Schizosaccharomyces pombe: one gene and its partners. Changing the gene in region 1 together with any one later gene gives a genetic interaction. Each region holds a gene or a part of one and is shown in the gene's direction. Other genes may lie near its edges.

The links.
Region 2: mutations in guf1 (region 1) and jmj2 together harm fitness less than expected from each alone (positive genetic interaction), as found in Schizosaccharomyces pombe (one large-scale study listed by BioGRID).
Region 3: mutations in guf1 (region 1) and pca1 together harm fitness more than expected from each alone (negative genetic interaction), as found in Schizosaccharomyces pombe (one large-scale study listed by BioGRID).

Annotation. Positions count from the first base shown.
Region 1 is NC_003424.3:4,930,619-4,935,431, reverse strand, and holds guf1 (GTPase GUF1), read left to right. Parts: upstream 1-1,729; 5' UTR 1,730-1,921; coding exon 1,922-2,416; exon of another isoform or gene 2,417-2,504; coding exon 2,505-3,929; exon of another isoform or gene 3,930-4,080; coding exon 4,081-4,119; 3' UTR 4,120-4,174; downstream 4,175-4,813. Other genes in the region: not3 (CCR4-Not complex subunit Not3/5), read right to left, coding at 1-350, 407-601, 664-701, 748-769; cyclophilin family peptidyl-prolyl cis-trans isomerase Wis2, read left to right, coding at 4,417-4,813. UniProt on the Schizosaccharomyces pombe protein: Promotes mitochondrial protein synthesis. May act as a fidelity factor of the translation reaction, by catalyzing a one-codon backward translocation of tRNAs on improperly translocated ribosomes. Binds to mitochondrial ribosomes in a GTP-dependent manner.
Region 2 is NC_003424.3:1,803,926-1,808,455, reverse strand, and holds jmj2 (histone demethylase Jmj2), read left to right. Parts: upstream 1-1,658; coding exon 1,659-3,806; 3' UTR 3,807-3,908; downstream 3,909-4,530. Other genes in the region: SPOM_SPAC1002.07C (N-acetyltransferase Ats1), read left to right, coding at 1-28, 80-214; bouquet formation protein Bqt2, read left to right, coding at 675-738, 814-973, 1,054-1,186; transcription factor TFIID complex subunit Taf11, read left to right, coding at 4,084-4,530.
Region 3 is NC_003421.2:2,261,975-2,267,810, forward strand, and holds pca1 (metacaspase Pca1), read left to right. Parts: upstream 1-1,992; coding exon 1,993-2,446; exon of another isoform or gene 2,447-2,492; coding exon 2,493-2,552; exon of another isoform or gene 2,553-2,593; coding exon 2,594-2,691; exon of another isoform or gene 2,692-2,718; intron 2,719-2,737; coding exon 2,738-2,761; intron 2,762-2,801; coding exon 2,802-2,970; intron 2,971-3,009; coding exon 3,010-3,482; 3' UTR 3,483-3,683; coding exon of another isoform or gene 3,684-5,296; 3' UTR 5,297-5,331; downstream 5,332-5,836. Other genes in the region: karyopherin/importin beta family nuclear import signal receptor Sal3, read left to right, coding at 1-1,595; pgm2 (phosphoglucomutase), read right to left, coding at 3,684-5,296, 5,734-5,833. UniProt on the Schizosaccharomyces pombe protein: Involved in cell death (apoptosis).

The DNA of each region.
Region 1 (4,813 bases):
ATATCATTCACGGCCTCTGGAGAAATTTGGGAGTTTTCCAGTCTCCTCATGATAAGTTCGAGTTTGTCTTGATGCCATTTGTGTCGCTCAATTCGAGATTCCAATTCTGACAAGTGCGAAAGTTTAGATAAATCTTTTTTACCTCTTTTAAATGTAGCTTTTAAACTTTCCGCCTCTGCTTCGATCAATTCTGCTTGCCGTTCTAGTTCTTCTACAGCATTGGAAATCCACTGAATAGTATCTTGCTTTTCTTTTTCCTTAGGATCCAACTTGGAAGCGATGCTAAGGCCCTCTTTACTGAAAGCTTTTATCTTCATCTCTCGCTCAACAGCTTTAAATTCCTCCATTTTCTAATGCATAGATATGTTAGTTAAAGAGCTTGTTTGCATCTAATTACAGTACATACAGCTTCAATAAGCCGCCTGTTCTCTAACAAGGCCTTTTTATCTTTGATATCATTGCTGCTAGCCCAAGTCTTAATCTGGTCACGAAGACGTTGTAGTTTTTTAATTTGAGTCTTCAAATCACCCTCTAGTTTCTCTTTTTGAGAGACGCTATTACTGGCGCTTAGCTTTTCGTAAACCTCGTCAAAAATCGCAATCTTTTCCAAATGTAAGTAAAATGCAATCATAATTAAAAGCAATTTATTGCCGAATTCATTACCCCATCAGTCACTTTTTTAAAGGTCTTCTCAATTTCCACTAAACCAGTTAATGTCAAATTTTCGTGACATATCATCTTCTTTACCTTGCAACTTTCGCGCCGACATTTTGACTAATTATACTTCCCAAAATTCAGGTAAATTACAACCACCTAATGTTTATACTCATGTAACCCAACTTTGTTGGAGTTGGTAAAAGTAGTCTTGTTACCAAAGATCTCTCCTAAGTTATTAAAGCTAAGGTGTGCCGGTTGCACGAGTGCTATTATGTGGGTGACAAAGAAGGAGGTAACAGTTTCACAATGTATGTAGGGATATGAGGATGGTAGTATTTGAAAGAAAATAATAGTTTACAATCATTTCTTTTATTTGAATTACTTTTATCATCATCTTATTGCTGAGTTTAAAATCTACATCAAAATTCAAGCGATAGTTCTAACTAATAATTGTGAATATATATATATATATATATAGGTACCACTCGAAATATTCCATGTTAATTCTTCAAAGCAAGCACTGTCAATTCTTACAAAGTAAAGAAATTTTTAACAATGTCAATTGGTACTTTTTGAGGTTGAAACAGCTTCAAAACTGGTGTATTAATGGTTATGTTTATATTTGATTTCAGCCAGTTGAAAAGCGTTTATGGATGTGAAATCAACTAACCAAGATTTTATTTTTCAGTATAGAGTATTGAAGGCTCAAATTTTTTCAATTTCTTTTCTGACAGTAGTTCCGATTGTATGAATTGACTCTTTTCGCTGCAAAAGTAACTCACAAACCAAAGTGTAGTGTCAACTTTTAAAATTACAGAATTAAGTCTCTTTCTATCAACTTTTCTTCATTTTTCCTTTTTTTTACAAATGTTTGACAAGCTGATTTTAAGGGTAAATATTATAGAAACAATTAAGAATCATTCTGCATTTATTGAATAGAATAGTTTTAAGACATAAAATTTTTTCTGAATTTTTTTAATTTGCCCCTCTTTTGAGCTATATCTAGTATTTTTGCGATTCTCGTCTTCCATTTTTTTTCTTTATCTTGAGTTCACTCAGTATAAAAAAAGTTAGCAATTGAGCAGCCCTCGTATTTGCAACTTGGACCATCTACCTACTGAGGTTTATTTATTTTTTTATTCCGTATAAACATTTAAAAAAGGGTTAGCTCATCTAGGTGCCTGAATTTATGCTATTGTAATTAGTTAATGAATTTAACGTATACTTTATTGAATAACCTTGAACAAAGATTTTTTTGGTGTTCATGAGTATTTTTAGGCTCTCTAGAACATTTAGTTTAGAGACTTGTTTAAAGAGTTCATCGTTCAAAATAAGATGGCGCTTCTTCTCTGTTTCTTATGCCTCAAGAAAGCTAGCATCCGAGGATAACAAGCCTTCCATTCAAGAAGTTGTTAGAGGAATTCCACAAAATAGAGTTCGAAACTGGGCTGTGATTGCTCATATCGACCATGGGAAATCAACGCTGAGTGACTGCATACTAAAACTCACCGGTGTCATTAATGAACATAACTTTAGAAATCAATTTTTGGATAAGTTGGAAGTAGAAAGGCGAAGAGGAATAACAGTTAAGGCGCAGACCTGCAGCATGATTTACTATTATCATGGACAATCATATTTACTAAATTTAATCGATACGCCCGGGCATGTTGACTTTCGTGCCGAAGTCATGCATAGTTTGGCCGCTTGTGAAGGATGTATCTTATTAGTTGATGCCTCTCAAGGCATACAAGCACAAACTGTATGAAATATGAGGTTCGATGATGAGCAAAGCAACATCAAATAACCTAGGTATCAATATATTAACTCTAAGCTAACGTATTATTTAGTTGTCAAATTTTTATATGGCATTTTCCCAAAACTTGGTCATAATTCCAGTTCTGAACAAGGTTGATTTGCCAACTGCGGATGTGGATAGAACTTTGATTCAAGTTCAGCAAACTTTTGATATCCCTATGTCCAAGCCCATCCTAGTCTCTTCTAAAACGGGAAAAAATGTCGAACAAATTCTACCGGAAATCATACAAAAAATTCCTCCTCCCAAGGGGTCAGAAAATGCTCCGTTACGCTGCCTGTTGATAGACAGTTGGTACAATAGCTACCAGGGAGTTATAGGATTGGTGCGAATTATGGAGGGCTTTATAAAAAAAGGAGGAAAGGTGATGAGTGTAAACACAGGTAGAAAGTATGAAGTACAACAAGTTGGAATTATGTATCCTGACATGACCGAAGTTTCGCGTCTTCGAGCAGGACAAGTTGGTTATATTATCTGGAATATGAAAAATATTGATGAAGCAATTGTCGGGGATACATATTCAACCATCGGATCTAATGTTGAAGCATTACCTGGTTTCTCTATTCCCCAATCAATGGTTTATGTTGGCGCCTTTCCTTTGGATGGCTCGGATTACGAGAGACTAAATGATAACATCGAACAATTGGCCCTTAATGATCGTGCTATTAATGTACAAAAAGAAAACTCGTCTGCTCTTGGGATGGGATGGCGTTTAGGTTTTCTTGGAACGTTGCATCTTTCTGTCTTTATTGACAGATTAAAGGATGAATATGGAAAGGAATTATTAATCACTTCTCCCACAGTACCGTATCGCATAAAATATAAAAATGGAAGGGAAGAAGTAATATCGAATCCTAATCTATTTCCAACAAATCATCAAGGTATATCTGAGCTTTTAGAGCCCACCGTCGATGCAACAATTATAACACCGAGCGAGTACCTAGGAGATGTTATCAAGTTGTGTGAATCTTGTCGAGGACTCCAAAAGGACTGCACTTATATGTCCGAATCGCGATGCATGATAAAATATCAATTACCTCTTGCTCACCTGGTTGAAGATTTCTTTGGTCGATTAAAAGGGACAACAAGTGGTTTCGCTACCTTAGATTATGAAGAATCGGATTACGTTCCTGCTGATTTGGTGCGACTATCAATTTTTATGAGTGGAAAATCTGTAGATGCTCTTTGTTCTATAGTGCATCGCTCGCTTGCACTTCAGCGAGGCCGTGAATGGATTCAACGGTTGAAGCCGTTAGTTCCTAAACAACTATATGAAGTAATACTTCAAGCTGTCATCGACAACCGAGTAGTCGCCAGGGAGTCTATCTCGGCTCTTCGAAAAAATGTCACAGCAAAATGCTACGGGGGAGATGTAACAAGGAAGCAAAAGCTACTTAATAAGCAAAAGGAAGGGAAAAAGAGATTGAAGTCAGTTGGAAATGTTTCAATTGACAAATCGGTAAGTAATTACATTGCCTGAAGACTTCATCGAAATATGTTTTAAAACTATTAGGAAACACAATTTTGTGTTTTAAAATTTAAATACATTGTTGACTTCACTCAACAGCACTTATATTTCTTTATAGTCCGTGTGTGCTAACTTAAATCAGGTATTTTATGAATTTTTAACGAAGAAGCAATCTAATTGAAAAAAGTATAAATATTTTTTGGTCTAATAAAAAGTCAAATTTTCTTCTGCTAGCATTTTTTTAATACAGTATGTTTCTAGAAGTTTCGTAGAAAATCTCTTCGCAGTAGGTTGCAAATATAAATCACCACCTTTTTAATAACTAAAACTAAATAGTTTGCACAGATCTGTATATTTCGTCTGCGTAAAATCGCTATTCATTCTTCTTCTTAAAGCAACTTTGTGGTGTGAATACACTGAGGAGACTGGCAGTGAAATATCATTACTTAAAAACGATCATTGTTTTTTTTTGCACGAAATGAGTACTTACGCCTATTTTAAAATTAGCATTGATGGTAAAATTCAACCAACAATCTACTTTGAACTTTTCGACAACGTAGTTCCCAAAACTGTCAAAAACTTTGCTTCGTTGTGTAATGGGTTTGAGAAGGATGGCCGTTGTTTAACCTACAAAGGTTCAAGGTTCCATCGAGTAATTAAGAACTTTATGCTTCAAGGTGGTGACTTTACTCGTGGTAATGGAACGGGTGGAGAAAGCATCTACGGCGAGAAGTTTGAGGACGAGAACTTTGAGCTCAAGCATGATAAGCCTTTCTTGCTTTCCATGGCCAATGCCGGCCCTAATACCAATGGATCTCAGTTCTTCATTACTACTGTTCCCACCCCTCATTTGGATGGAAAGCATGTTGTTTTTG
Region 2 (4,530 bases), 3.1 Mb from region 1:
AATTGGTGGCAGACGTCTTGACTGGGTTGTAAGTTGTTTATAACCCATTTCTTTTTTTATACCTTGACTAATACCCTAGGTCCTTGATTGGAACCAGAGAGCCATTGAAGTCTATGAAAAGGCTGGAGCACAAAAAGTTGGAGGATGGAGTATGATGAGAGTCACCGGCGAGAACCTAAAGGCTCTTGCTGATAAACTTCCCGGCAACTTTTAAACTCATACCCAATACTTAACGCTCTAAAAAATTGAAGCATGATATGTTATACCTTTGAAACCTTGAACTGGAAAGAGGAAAATTAATTTTTTATGATTGAAAGATCCTGGATCTTGTAGTTTCGTTTTAAAGCGGTCATTTCAATGTCTTTAGGTTATTTCCCGTTTACCAAAAAATACGATATCAATTTACATCTTACATTTTTTAAAATTAAAAAATAAAGAATCCTTTTTTTTGCAAAGTAAATTATTAGAACTGGTATATTGTTCTAATGTTAATTCCTATAAAACTAATTTGATCGTTTTCCTTTCAATTCATCAAATCGGCTTCTTATTGTGTATTAAAAAATAGAAAGAAAGTATTGGTTAGTATTCTTGAATATCTTTTATTGTGTTTCTTTTTCGAAACGCGTCGCGCGCAATTGTAAACAAACCAACTACCTACAACAGTTTGCCTGTCAATGTTTCAAGGAAAGTGCGCCTTTTTTGATGAAACCGTACCTTCTGCATTAATTGCTTTATGGCGTAAGTTTTAAAGGTTTGATGTGCACTTGTTTGTTGTCGAATGATTTATGGTTCAGTTGTTCTTACTAAAGATAGAATTACACAACGGAGAAGCGAAATTTTTAGCAGAAGGTTATGAAAATTTTGATTATGCATTTTCAATGCATCTAAGAAAGCACGTCCGCTTGCCAAATTACAAATCAGTTCAATGTCGTTCTCCTTGGTGGATTGCGGAGCAAGTAGCTGTTTCCAGAAGGTATTTATTAAATTTACTAAATATTGCATTGATAGTTTATCTTATCATTTACCAAGGCAAGTACTAACCACCATTATTAGCAAAAGTTACGTTTCTGAACCTGTCATTCATTTGAACGTGATGGAACCTTTATATGTTGATCACAGAATACGTTCAGTGTATCTACAGCCTCTGCCATCCACGCTTTCTTTTCTAAACGGTGAATTACCTTGAAATGCTTTGGTGCTGATATGGCGTTGTTCCGATTGTAAATTCTATGCTAATTGTGAAAAATACCTTTCCTTTTTCTATCCTTTATAATTTAATGATCGTTCCTTTAGCTCTCAAAATCGTCAACTGAAGTTGTCACAACCTTCACTTAACCATACGTTACGAATATTAATTTAATGCCTATTTATGCTATTAGCCTAAGATTATTTTCGAATTTTACCTAATTTCTTTATTTATATCCCATAAAGACACTTACGTCTTTTCAATGGACAATTGAACAAGTATACATTGCATAAACATAAAAAACTTACTTCATCTAAGTCCGAGTTTAAAAACTGTTGTTTCCATTTATTATTTCTCATTTACGTTTCGTTTCTTTTTTATTCTCTATTTTTTAATTCTTTTTATAATAACTTTTTTTTTCTGGAATCGCTCACCATTCGGACTAATTTATCTACTTATTTGCATAGGAAACATGAGCAAGTCTACTTTTCATCAAACTTCCCCATCTTTTGTACAATACACTCATGCTACAGATAAACTAAAACCTGCACCTCATGGGATGAATACGCGGGGAAATAACTTATCCTCTATGTCAAAAAATACCGGACAAAGAAAACAGCGTTCCAAATCCATTCATGGACTTCCAGTTGCTCCCGTTTTTTATCCTGATAAAGAGGAATTTCAGGACTCTATCGGTTATATTAATAAGATAGCTCCAATCGGTGAAAAATATGGTATCATAAAAATCGTTCCTCCTGCTGGTTGGAATCCACCGATGCAACTTGACATGAACAAGTTTTCCTTCCGTACTCGGCGGCAGGATTTGCATATGATGGATCTTCGATTTCGTGAAATAGTCTCTTACGATGAACGCGTTTACCGTTTTTTTTGCAATCTGGGCATGGAGCTCCCGGAATCATTTTTTATTTCCAATACGTCTATCGACTTATACAGCTTAATGCGTTGTATTGATTCTCATGCATCTCTAAGTGAGAAGGAATTAAAAGTTCATGTATGGAAAAGGATTTTACGAGAACTTTCAATTCCTTTTACTAATGCATCATTAAAGGAAGCAAGTGACTTGTATTTAAGGTATATTTTTCCATTTGAGGATTTCGTCAGAAAATATCAGACCTCTGAGGATCAATGCTTTGAAACTGATCTCTTCCCTAAATTTTTTACAAAAGACGAACATTCTAATATTAGTATTAAAGATCAGAAGACATCTAAACAATTTAACCCCGAAACTAATGAGTCCGTAGGAATTCTTCAAAACCAAGAATCCAAGAGAAATGAGCAGATTAAACAACAATATATGCCAGCCGATAATTTTGGATCAAATGATAATCACTCACATAATAAAAAGCGACGATTGAGCTCTCTGTCAACGAATAACAACCACTTATGTGACAATTGTCACAAACCTGTCAATTGTGAAGTCGAAGATACGTGTAAAGAAGCGTATTGTACTAAATGTATAATTAATCCATATGAGTTTGGGTTTGAAACAGGGAATTATTATACTTTATCGAACTTTGAAAAATACTGTGACAATTTTAAGAAAAATTATTTTTCTAAATTTAAAGACTCGGAGATAACTGAGGATATTGTTGAAAAAGAGTATTGGAAACTCGTAAAAGACAATAATACAAGCCTTGAAGTGGAATACGGTGCAGATTTATCAACCCTTGATCAGGGCAGCGCCTTCCCTAGTTTAGCCAAAAATCCAGTGAATCCTTACTCTAAGGACACATGGAATTTAAATGTTATAGCATCCACAAATGGTTCTCTATTAAGCTATATAGATAATCCTGTTTCAGGTATAACCTGTCCGTGGCTGTACGTTGGAATGTGTTTTTCAACTTTTTGTTGGCATGTCGAGGATAACTATACTTATTCCGTAAATTATCAACATTATGGAGACACAAAATTATGGTATGGAATTCCAGGTGATCAAGCCGAGAGGTTTGAACGCGCCGCTCTTGATATTGCTCCTGATTTGGTAAAAAAACAAAAAGATCTGCTTTACCAATTAGCTACAATGATCAACCCTGATGAGCTACAAAAAAGAGGTGTCGATGTTTATTTCATCGACCAGGGGCCTAATGAATTCGTGATTACCTTTCCAAAAAGCTTTCACGCAGGAATTAATCATGGGTTTAACATTAATGAGGCAGTGAATTTTGCTCCCAAAGATTGGTTACTAAACGGATTCTCTTTGAATGGCGTTTTGAAATATCAGTCACTTCTTAAACCTCCTGTACTTTCACATGATATGTTGGTTTACAATTTAGCGACAAATCCGGCGTCAGAGATAAGTGTGTCTGAGCTAAGGCCTTGGGTGCATGAGGCTGTCAAACGTGAATTAGGTATACGTATCATGATACGAGGACGCTATGATTTAAAGGAAATACTTTATCGTGAATTAATGGAGGATGCCGAAAATTGGCAATGCCAGCATTGCAAAGCATTTTCATACTTCTCTCAAGTTGCTTGTTCTTGCAAGTCGATTACTGTATGTCCATTACACATCGAATATCTTTGCAAGTGCGATTTAAGCAATAAGACCTTACGCCTAAAAGTCGACGATAATGAGTTACAGAAGTTGCTAAGTTATTAAAGTTACATTTATTCTTTTCTAAAACAATTATTTTGCAATTTATAAACCTATATTTTCAAGGTCATTTACAAACATCGTTGGATTCATGTAATGTAAACAATTTGACTATAATCATAGTATTGTACGTTTAAGGAAGCGTAGTGTACTTGCTTATGTATGAAGCAGTTTCCAACCTGTGAAATTTACTTCTTGTACATTCTCACTTTGCATAACAAAATCAAACCCAATTTTTAAACATTTAGAGCTCTTCAGTTTTTTGAAGATAGAAGGGATAAATATGAAACGAACTGGTTCTGCGAGTTCAGTACCTCGATTTCAGCGATCGATGAGCTACGATCAATCTAATTCTCCTACAGCAGGAGCTCATGCAAAGGCAAATACGGCATCGCCTGCTGCTGAGCCTGCTCCCTCATCAAAAGAAAAAGAGAATTGGAATCGGCAAGAAGAAAATGATCTGGAAGAAGACGATAGGGATGACTTTGGTACAGCTGCTATTTCAAAAGTTGCTGGAAAACCTGGTGAAACGGACGACGAAGCTAATGAAAAATTGCGCACAAAATATCTTCTAGAGAGTTTTGATGAAGAGCAAATGCAAAGATACGAAGTGTTTCGTCGTGCTAACTTAAATAAAACCAATGTTAAAAAATTGGCTAACCAAATTTTAAACCAAAGTGTAACCCCCAATGTTGCTATTGTGATCTCAGGATTTTCAAAGGTGTTTGTT
Region 3 (5,836 bases), on another chromosome or scaffold:
CTACTTTAATTGCCTTAGCTGTTGGTAAACAACGATTCCTTCCTGTATCTCAGGAATTAATCCAAATTTTAGGTAACATTCAAATGGGTATTACTGACAGTGATGATCCTCAAGCTAGTTATCTCATCTCTGCCTGGGGAAGAATTTGCCGTGTTTTAGGAAGCGATTTTGTCCCATTTTTGAGTTCAGTTATGCCTCCTCTGTTGGTTGCTGCTACCTCGAAACCTGACTTCACAATTATAGACGACGAGGTTGATGAAAGCAAATATTCTGAACAAGATGGTTGGGAGTTCATTCCCGTTCATGGTCAACAGGTTGGTATTAGGACTAGTACGTTAGAAGACAAGTGTACTGCCACCGAAATGCTTGTCTGCTATGCTGCTGAGTTAAAAGCTGACTTTGATCCTTACGTCAATGAAGTTTTGACATCTGTTGTACTTCCAGGATTGAAGTTCTTCTTTCACGACGGGGTTCGTTCTGCTTGTTGTAAGTGTATTCCTCAGTTATTGAACGCTCGGATTTTAGCTAGCAATCGTGATCCAGCTAAAGTCAATGAGCTTTGGGAGCCTATTTTACGAAAGCTGTTGGATCATATACAAAATGAACCAAGCGTGGAAATGCTTGCCGACTATTTTGAATGTTTCTATCAAAGTTTGGAAATCAGCGGCTTGAATCTGAGTCCTTCTTCGATGGAAGCACTCGTTGCTGCCGTTGATTTGCAGCTCAAAGGATTCATTTCTCGCGTGCAGCAGCGTGAGGAGGAGGCTAAAAATGGTGACATAGATATTGAAGAAGATGAGGACATGATTCTTGCAGTCGAAAATGATCAAAACTTGTTAAACGAAATAAACAAGACTTTTAGTGTTGTATTAAAAATTCACAAAACTGCTTTCTGCCCTTTTTGGGAAAGGCTACTACCGTACATGGATGGCTTTTTGTCTGGAAACGACACTGTAGCTAAGCAATGGGCTCTATGCATGATGGATGACTTAATTGAATTTACTGGACCCGATTCTTGGAACTACAAGGATCACTTTTTGCCTTACTTAGCTGAAGGTATTCAAAGTAGCGAACCAGAAATTCGACAAGCTGCCTCGTACGGTATTGGAGTAGCCGCTCAGCATGGAGGAGAGTTGTATGCTGAAATCTGCTCTAGTGCTTTGCCCGCATTGTTTAAGATGCTCGAGCTTCCTGATGCCCGTGATGAAGAACAAATTTATGCCACAGAAAATATTTGTGTTGCGATATGCAAAATTTGCCGCTTTTGTAGCCAACGTGTTCAGGATCTTGACAAAGTTGTAACGTATTGGATTAATACACTTCCTGTAACACATGATGAAGATGACGCTCCTTATGCTTACACTTTCCTTGCGGAATTGATGGAACAAAATCACGTGGCCGTTGCCTCACAAATGCCAACGATTATTACGATTTTAGCAGAAACATTTGCATCTGGAGTTTTACGTGGAAGAACTTTGACACGTTTGATGGAAGCTTCGAAGGTTTACTTAGCTCGTTTCCCTGCTGATCAAGTTAATTCTGTCATTGCCACTTTGAGTGTCGATAATCAGAGAGCTTTGTCTGCACATTTTTAAATTTCATTTCTTTCACTCTAAGTCTTTCAATATTTTCTTTGGTTCCTCAAAATGCTTTAGTTAGTTTAGGTTAGGTTAGGTTTTTATTTAATCCATCAACAATCTTCGGATTTTGTTTCACTCTTTTTAGACTATGCCGGCTAGGTTTTCACTTATTGCTTTATACATTACTTGATTTTTCATCGTATTAAATTATTTCTTCGTGTAGCAGCTCTTTCGTGTATAATACGTTTTGATGTGTGGTATGATTATAATATATTGCTCGCATCTTTTGCAATTAATTTTTTTTTTAAATGTATATACTGTAGTCAAATTGATTTTGCTTTAGTTATAACCTGTGAGATCTGGTATTTTATTGAAAGTAGCATAGTTAAGCACTATCCAACTTCCCATCAACATGAGCTACAACTCCAATCCTTATAACGGTGGGCAATATCCACCATATAATACATATACTAGACCTAATTATTCACCAAATAATGGTTCTCAAAGTAATAACACTGTACATCAATATCAGCCTCCACGTATGCCACCCCCTTCCACAAGGCCTCAGACAGACGGCAATTCTAATCAAATCCCTATGGAGAATGTTGGTCATATAAGTTTGAGCTCTGCAAACTCCCATGCTTATGCCCCACCCTCAGGTCCGCCTCCGAATACTGGTGCTAATTCTTATGGCAACCCAAATTATAGTGGGCCTCAGCTGCCAAACACTCAGACTCAATCTTATAACTTAGCAGGAGGAGGAAACTTTCAGTATCAGTATTCAACTTGCCAAGGGAAGCGAAAGGCTTTGCTGATCGGAATTAACTATCTCAATACCCAAAATGAGTTGCAAGGTTGCATTAATGGTACGGAATGCGAAAGGTCAAGTAAACATATATTAACTTGTTTAAGATGTCATGTCTATGTCCCAACTGCTGATACAGCGCTACGGTTACAAGCAAGAAGATATGGGTATGGTTGATTACGAGAACATCTTGCTAAAACTTTTTTAGTTATTATGACAGACACGGCAAGCAACCAAAGGGCAATTCCCACTCGTCAAAATATGTTAGATGCGATGAGATGGTTAGTAAGTGATGCCCAACCTAATGTAAGTTATATGTCATGGGATTTACTTCCTAATGCTAACTATTTAGGATGCATTATTTTTTCACTATAGTGTAAGAATCATCACTTTACATCTCATACTCACATGCATAGGGCCACGGAGGGCAAACAAAAGACCTTGATGGAGACGAAGTTGATGGTTATGATGAAACGATATATCCACTGGACCATCAATATGCCGGGCAAATTATAGATGATGAAATGCACGAAATAATGGTTAAGCCTTTACCAGCAGGATGTCGTTTAACAGCTCTCTTTGACTGTAAGTCAGTGATTTTAATCTATTTTTAACAAAATATAGCTTGTCATTCAGGTGGAGCTCTCGATCTTCCTTTCACGTACTCTACCAAGGGCGTTCTAAAGGAGCCAAATATGTTAAAAGAATCTGGTATGGATGTACTTCATGCTGGCCTTTCTTATGCCTCTGGCGACATTATGGGAGCTATCAACAACGTGAAAAATATATTTACCAGTGCTACCAATGGATTTAATAACAACGCTCTACAGTACTCTAGACAAGTTAAGTTTTCTCCTGCTGATGTTATTTCTTTATCCGGATGCAAAGATAATCAAACAAGCGCAGATACAAGTGTTAATGGATTCGCTACTGGTGCTTTATCATACGCCTTCCGTGAAGTCGTCACTCAAAATCCCCAACTTAGCTACTTGCAGTTGCTGAGAGGTATTCGACAAGTACTTTCCAACAAATACTCACAACTGCCCCAATTAAGTTGTAGTCATCCTTTAGACATGAATCTTGCCATGGTTTTATAGTACACTAAACATTACTTGATCATTGAAGTTCTATATTTTTGTAGTTCCATCAGATATTTAAGGAATTTTCAATTAAGGATAAAATTTAAATCACAACAACTCAGGAAATCATATCTAATACTTTATTGAAATATTTTTGTTTGCAATTTATAATTTTGCTTAAAAAACGAGCTCAAATTAAAATTATACACGCGAGAAAACTCATGGCTCTTCCAGTCCGTTCTGTTGGGGATGAAACCATTCAGATTTGATAGCCTGTTTAACTTCTGTAGCATTCTTTATGGAATCTTCAAGCGAATGTCCGCGAGCACAGATATAAAACTTAAGTTTCGGCTCTGTACCACTTGTGCGAATAGTCATAATTACCTCTCCATTTTCAAGCTCAAACGTTACGTTATCTGAACTTTTTGAAACTGGTAAAGTAGCTTTACCATCCGTGGAGCTTGAGTCGTAACCTGTAGTAAGGTCGCGAACATTTGTAATTTTCTTACTACCAAGGGTTGCCGGATAACCCGATTTTGTGTCATAATGTCTCAAGGCATCAACCAAAGCACGAAGCTTGGGAGTGTCGCGTGAAAGGAAATATGAGTTTTGCGTAGTGTAATAACCATATTTTTTAGACATTTGCTCAAAAACCTCGGTAATTGAAAGATTCTGAAGTTGAAGGCGTTTCAAAAGATGAAGGAACGTAATCAAAGCATTAACCCCGTCTTTGTCTCTAACTATACTACCTACCATATAACCAAGAGCTTCTTCATATGCCAATCCAATAAATTTCCCTTGTTTTTCCAATTCTAATGCTTTATTGCCTAACCACTTAAATCCAGTAAGTGTTTCAACATGATGGAATCCTTCTACTTTGGCCATGGACTTTACCATAGCACTAGAGACAGTAGTTGACAAAACGTAAAAATCATCAATTGGCTTTCCAACGTTTTTGTATTCTTGAAATATAAAATAGGCAAGGATACAACCAACTTCATCTCCGGTAAATCTTCTCCAAGCACCATTAATTTTTTCTGCAAAGGCGAAACGATCTGCGTCAGGATCAGTTGCAAGGACATACGAAATACCATTAGCATCAGCTTGCTCGTAAGCCAAATCCAATGCCCCCTCCTCTTCTGGATTTGGAAATTTCACAGTCGGAAAGTCAGGGTTTGGAGAATCTTGAAGAGGTACAGAAATCATATCGCCTTGTTCGCCAAATAAGTGTAATGCTGAAGTAACAAATGGTAATCCAACGCCATGAATAGGAGTGTAAACAAATTTCAAAGATTTCATTTCCAAGGAAAAGTTGTTTTCGGAATGGAATTCGTGGAGCTGAGACCAATAGTTTTTTAAAAGACCAACTGCAAAATCCCGATCTGCTAGTTTATGATTTTCAACCAAATTTTTGTCCCAAGTAATGGGCGTTAAGTTTTTTTCTATACATGCAGCAATTCCCTTGTCATGGGGAGGAATGATAGCACAACCGTTTCCCCAATAGACCTTGTATCCGTTATAAGCTGCGGGATTATGGGAAGCAGTAATCATAACACCAGCTGCAGTCCCTAGGGTTTTAACGGCAAAAGGGACTAAAGGGGTATGGACAAGATGATCGAAGAAATACGTTTTGAATCCTTTTTGCAAGAACACTGCAGCAGTAAGTCGAGCAAAAGTATTAGACTTATGCCTATGATCGTGTCCAATTACCACACCCAGCTTTGCAGCTGATGGTACGGTTTGAAGCAAATACTCAGCGAAGCCTTGTGAGGCTTGAATCACGGTCAAACAGTTCATGCGAGCGAAGCCAGCACCAATTTCAGCTCTCAAACCTTTGTAAACATTAGTAAATGAATAAACGAACTTGATAATGTTAAAACATTAAGATGTATAGAGAGAACAATCGCAAGCTGAAAATCTAATTACACTTAAACCAATTTCGTACAAGCACGTTATATAACATTCCAAGCAAAAAAGACCAAAACAGATAGAAAAGAAGAAGAAGAACGAAAAACTCTTTCTGAAATATGACCAATATGATCATCACAATAAATTAGTATACGCAGTAAGGAAAGTGACCGATGATCAAGTATATCACTTCGACTCTAATCAAGGAAAACACAATAAAGTAGTTTAAGCTACCGGCTGTAGCACTGAGAATTCTTTATTAAGAAAGAGGCATTATTTAGCGTTCTCTTTCAATCCACTTCAACTTGCGAAATATCTCTTAACAATCTCAATTTTTTCTTCTTTTGTAATAAAAACATACCAGATGTACCAAATCCAATCCTTGGATGCATAATTTGCTTGAGGGTGGCATAATCTTCAGCCTTAATCAATTGTGAAACTTCATTCCTCGTAGTTTCATCCTA